Arabidopsis thaliana: one gene and its partner. The protein of the gene in region 1 interacts with the protein of each later gene in a pairwise test. Each region holds a gene or a part of one and is shown on either strand. Other genes may lie near its edges.

What was found.
Region 2: the proteins of AGL57 (region 1) and AT3G43430 interact in a two-hybrid assay, tested with the Arabidopsis thaliana proteins (one large-scale study listed by BioGRID).

The regions. Positions count from the first base shown.
Region 1 is NC_003074.8:1,073,354-1,076,459, reverse strand, and holds AGL57 (AGAMOUS-like 57), read right to left. Parts: upstream 1,162-3,106; coding exon 538-1,161; downstream 1-537. Other genes in the region: SIP1A (small and basic intrinsic protein 1A), read left to right, coding at 2,429-2,719.
Region 2 is NC_003074.8:15,353,718-15,357,039, forward strand, and holds AT3G43430 (RING/U-box superfamily protein), read right to left. Parts: upstream 1,778-3,322; 5' UTR 1,545-1,777; coding exon 1,041-1,544; 3' UTR 818-1,040; downstream 1-817.

The DNA of each region.
Region 1 (3,106 bases):
AAAGGGGCAAAAATATATATATACACTGTATATATATATGGGGTTTTTTTTATGGTCAAATGTTATTGCCCTTCGAATAAGAGACCTTTGATTCGTAAGAAGAGATTATTATTTTATAAGAGAAGGTTATGACCGAAAGGTTTCTGAAGAAAATGAAAAATTACTTTTAAAAGGAATTTTATCTTTAAAAGGAAACAAAAGGAATGGTTAAGTTTTACATGATTGGACGCAAAAATGGAAAATTCTTTTGATTACTTCAAAAAAGGAAACCCTCATTTCTTATTAATAATACATCAAATAAAAAACTAACATGATTTTTCGCAAAATATCCAATTTGTGAAGACCCTAACGCTCGAATTTGTCATCACTTGGCTCAGTCTTTCAACTTTTGAAAACTGAAACTCCTTTTTTCTCAATACTGTTAGATAATAGAGATATACTCGAGACGATTGAGCTTCGTCAAATGGATACATGCAGTATTAAAATCAGCAGTTCAAATACAAAGAAATTTAAATCATCAAGTATGAATATGTATGATCATGCTTCACGATCGAACAGACGAACACCACCAGAAACTCGACGTCCCACACGAACAGAAGATGAACCACCACAGTCTTTTCCCAATCGTAAGTGAGCCATATTGTCGCATAAGTTATCACGTAACTCGAGCATCGCTTGGTACCTTTGCTGCAGCTCCTTCGCGCTCAAACCTTCCGAAGGAAAGTTCCACCACATTTTATCTAACTTCTTTTCATTTCTCGATTCCTTCAACAGTTTCAACTTCTCTAGATCCATCGCAAGCTCCTCTTCGAGCGCCTCCATTTTTTTTACGAGGTCGTGGAGCCTTCGTTTCTTATAAGCTTCGACGAGGGGTCTGGTATCGTCTCTCTCTAATGGTTCTTGTCTCGAAGGGTTCTTTAACCGGTCAGCCACTTTCTTCATAGACGGATGTGCGAATGTATAGGGCTTCTTGGGTTGAGAGAAAATCAAGAAAGCCACTTCAACGTCACACATTGCTACGAGCTCGTTCATTTTCTTAAAAATTCCGGTTTTACGTTTTGAGAACGTAATCATCCTATCTCCATAGTTCTCCACCTTCTTCATCTCGATCTTTTGCTTCCCCTTTGTTTTTCTTCCCTTTGCTTGCTTCGTAGATGACATGTTTGCAGAAACCAGAACTAGTGTTTGATTTCTTGTAGGTTTGTTATTTTGTATGTAATGATAAAACCATGCGCAAAACACAATCTATTTATAGACCAAAGAAAGAGATAGGATTACAAAGTTTGGAGACATTAAATTTAAATCTTAGTTATGAAGAAAGTGTATTGACTAATTTACAAAAAAAAAAAAAAAATGTTGACTAAACACATTTGGCAACCACTTTAACATCTTCATTAATCAGTCAAGAAACTATTATGGTAACCCAATTGGTGTAATAGCTGGTGTAAAGGCTAATTGACCATTCAAGGAGGAATGTTCTTTTAGGTAATTACGAGTTTGTGTATCCCTTACAGGGAACATACCTCAGATCCAAAATTCTTTTGTTACAAAAAAAATAGGAAAAATTTGATATAAAAGATATCTACTACAAAATTTGTCCATAATATTCTTATTTTTTTGTAGATTAGTCATATAATTTTTTTAAAAAACTTCAAAATCCAAATTTATCTTATTTTTCTATCAAATTTCATTTAAAAAATAAAACTTTTTTGTATTAGTATAAGTCCGTTCATTTGATTAGTCATAACTTTTGCTATAATATTTTGTTTGACTTGAAATCACTATCGTTGGAAAGCTAATTGAAACTAATAGAATTGCTATAATATTCCGTTTGACTTGAAATTACTACCGTTGGAAAGCTAGTTAAAGCTAATAGAATTGAAGTCAATATATAAACATAAAAAAAAAATTTAAAAATTTAATTTTAGGTTAAAATAACTTTAATCTATTTTCTCTAAAATAACAATAACTTAAGGGATGCAATTTATACTTATAAATTTCCAAATTTATATAACATGAAACACATGAAAAATATTTCCTCTCATAGGCTACAGCTAGCTAATATAAAATAAAATCCACGCTTTTTATATGCTTAATTTAAACTCTAATTATTAACTCTAATAAAACCTAGTTTAAGTCCACGTATAATTTCAACTGATATTCAATAACTAATAATTTATATATTTGTTGCAATCTCTGTAAGACTATCGGTTAGGTTAATCATTCAAAGATATCTTCGTTTCATAAAACAAGAAAAAAACAAAAAAAAACAAATTTTCAAAAAGAAAAAAATCTATTTGAGGAGAAAAATAGCTGTGAGAGAGAAAGCTAAAGAGGCGACGTACCACCCACCTAACCACAACCAGATCCCCAAAAGACAGAGAACTTTCTCGATACGAACGCCAAAGAGAAGAAGACGAAGACGAAGATGATGGGTGTGTTGAAGTCGGCGATTGGGGATATGTTGATGACCTTCTCTTGGGTTGTCCTCTCCGCTACCTTTGGAATTCAGACGGCGGCGATTATCTCCGCCGGTGATTTTCAGGCAATCACTTGGGCTCCGTTGGTGATTTTGACGTCGTTGATTTTCGTCTACGTCTCGATCTTCACCGTTATCTTCGGTAGCGCTAGCTTCAATCCTACCGGAAGCGCTGCCTTTTATGTCGCCGGTGTCCCCGGAGATACTCTTTTCTCCTTGGCGATTAGATTACCTGCTCAGGTTTTCTAAAGATCCAAACTTTTTTCTGAATTTTTAAACTTTTTTCAGCTTACTGTTTTGGGTTTACTTGGTTTCTATCAATATTTGTGATCTGTGATAGTTTCTTTCAAATGGGTATAGGCTTGTGTTTGTCTGCGAATTAGAATCTAGTTTTGTCTGCGAATTAGAATCTAGTTTTGCATGAATCATTGAATCCAAAGCTATGTAGTATATGCTTTTCCCGTGATTTGTCCCCACTTGTATGCCCCATTTTAGATTAGTTGAGTAGAATTCGACTTTTTTGGTACATATGAGTCTGATCTTCTGTTTTTCGTATATTCTCACCTTTGATCTGTTTAGTATAGTTATACTCAGGTTTGATATTTCTTGGAAAGAAGAACACACAGA
Region 2 (3,322 bases), about 14 Mb from region 1:
ATTGATTTTATTCTGCCTCGTATTGAAGCGGCGAATTAATGATATTTTAAATTTTTTATTAATGTTGATTCAAACTCTGTCCTTCCATGCCACCATAAAAACTAGTTCCGCAATTTCATCTGTCTCGGTTTTTTTTATATGTTCAGATGTTTATAATATTATAAATTTTTTATTGCTTTTGAATATATTAATTATTATATTTCCAGTGAAATGAAACATTTTTACTAAAAACAGAATTAGCACATATTGAAATTTTTAAATTTGGATGCTTGTTGAGTTAAGGTCCCTAGTCATTCGGATTTGGATTCATTTTGATTTTATTTACAGTGTGATTATGAATTATTTTCTAAATATTTTAGCTAATGTGTGATGTTAAACATATACTTTTTCAATAATTGGATAATATATGTTCGTTTTCAAAATTTGAATCAAAATATATGAAAAAAAATTGTTTACTTTATGTATTATACGATTATCCAAAAAAATTAAAAAAAATTAAATAAAGATGAAAAGAGAATCATAGATTTAAATTATTACCAAATATTCTAACTATATGTATTATTTAATATAGAAACATAATTAGTAGATATGATCTAATTTTGGTAATATTTGTATCCAACTTTAGATAAAAAAAACAATAGAAGAGTCGGGTCAAATATAATCCGATCCACCCAAACTTTTATGAATAATATTTTTATTAAATTGGGTATCATATGTATCCGAAAATAGTTTAACCCATCCGTAAAAATTATACTTAAAAAAATACTATAGAGATAAGTAGAAAACAATAAAACGGAATGTGACAACTAAGAAAGGATAAATAAATGAAAAATGTTGAAATAATAATAAAAAATGTTAGACATTTATCTGAAGAGGAGAATTAATACAGTTTAACATTTGTATATACAATCAAATCAAATTGATTCGATTTCGTATAATTGCGATCAATCACTCTTATATTTCCTATTCGACCCCTCTACCAATTACAATATTCATAAAAAAAATATGAAATCAAATGTTTTCTAAAAGAAAAATAAAAGTCAGGGAAGAAGATCGTCGCCGAAGAGGTAAAGAAGTCGTTCAACAGCCCAACTAGTTTGAGTAACGGTTGAGTAATCAGTGAAAGATGGAAGCAACGGCGTTCGACATAGGGGACAAGTACGGTGGTTATCATCATCACCGCCGCAACATTCATAATCTAGCCATCGGTCAATACAATCACGATGAAACACGTGAGTACAGTTCCTAAGCTCTCTGATTTCGTCCTCGTCTTCAAGATCTCCTAGACACACGGCACACATGTCGTTTATCGCCGCGGGAGATCTCTCCACCGCGTCGCGGAAAGCGGACACGGCTAGGCTTTCTTTGATGGTTTGTGATGAAATAGAAGGAGAAGAGGAGGATTGAGATGATGATGATGAGGAGGATCTTGAGCGGTAACGGAGGATCCATGCAAAGATCCATCGTAAAACGGTGATGATAAGTGCCGTTTTGTAGAGAACGTGGCTGATGATGAGACTAGTGTCTTCGATGAAGAATGTCATTGTGAAAACTTGGAGTAGAGAAAGAGAGGAGAAGAAGAGGGAGGACTAGAAGTTAGAGTCATGCGTCTTTATAAAGACAACTTAAAGGTGGTGATGGTTTGGTTTTTCATTGGTGTAAGTGGCTTTTTATTTTATTTATTTTAACTATTTTTATTATTATTTTTGCAAAAGTATTTATTTATTTACAATTGTTTTTTTCATTACAACTTTCGGTGTCAAATTTTCTGTTATGCTTATCTGTATCCACATATTTTAATCTATATAATAAATTATGAGTCTGCATTGAGGATATATTTTTTTTTATTCAGCTGTTGATGTTGGAAAACTTAATCAGTCAAATTTAATGTGCTATTAAGCTATTTTATTCATACAGTACAATTGAAAATTCAATGCATGAACTGTTAGTTAGTTGAAATTGAGTAAAAGGAGAAGATTAATGTTTGGATAGAGTTCTGTTAGTTAATGTAATGAAACTTTGTAACATAATTTTATATATGATCGTGGAATATAAACCCTTGAACACATTTATAAAGTTAAATGTTACTCAGAGGATCAATCAAAAGAGTTTTGGGTGAAGAAATAAGAATCTAAAAATATCTAGGTGACGACAGTTGAGAGAAGAGACTAAAGTGAAATACAAGAGAAAGAGCAGGAGAAGGTGACGTTGGGATAGTGGCGTTCGTGTCACAGTCTGTGCTACTCTGGCTTGCAGTATTTGCTTGCATGAGAGATTGAGAGAGACGGTGAGGAATAAAAGATGATCGTAATCGTTTCTTTTTCTCTTCCTTTTACCAAACCACCTAAAAAGAGAAACATATATGAAAAGAAAAAAAAACATTTTGACGTAACAGATTTTAGTATCATTATCGTTGGTTATCTTTTAGAAGCAATTTGGTCACATTCACATAAACCTTTAAATTTGTTACTCCATTTGTGGCTTATTGCCTTAACGATTACGCCTTGTTTTCTTTACATATATATTCATGTGCTTTTTATGTTCTCTGTTAGCTTTTACGTCAGAAATATAGTTTACAAAAAAATATATATATATATTTTCACAATTCCAATATCCCATATTCTCACATAACTTTCTTTGGGTTTTTTCTTTTCTTTGGTTTTCTTTTGATTTTCATTACTTATCTATTTTAATTTAACAAAAAGAAACCGAAAGAAAAATGATTAAACAATAAAAACTTAAAAGGTGTAAATAATTTTATGATATTTCACGAATAAATTTATAGGGTCCGATGGTAACTAAAATCTGTTAGCTGTTAGCTTTTTCGAAACAATGCAAAGCTGTAAAAAAAACTATACGAGAAAATTATAAAAAAAAACTAAGAGTAAAATTTTTAGCAACGTTTTTGTGATTGGTAATTGTTAAAATTATATATTTTATAACGTTTTGTACCGTTTTGTAAAGTGATTATCAATCAAAACCGTAGTTAAGTATATTATGATATGAATGATGGTACTAGTGAATCGAGATGATATTAATGTATATCAAATATTTCGGCTTACGTCGCATCTTTTTCATTATATTAAAATAATCTTATACGTAGCACCTTCGTTGAAGTTTAAATATTAATCGTATAGCAATAGCTAATTAATAAAGAATCTCAATTGTGGTGATAGACATCAACCCATTTATAACAGTGGTTTGGCTTCTTCTGTTTCTCGGTTTTACTTTAGAAATTTACGTAAGCATCACTATTTTTTTAATGGTAAGAGTTCAATGATGTATTCAATGAAGTATTAGTTAGGATATAAAAAGAAGAATT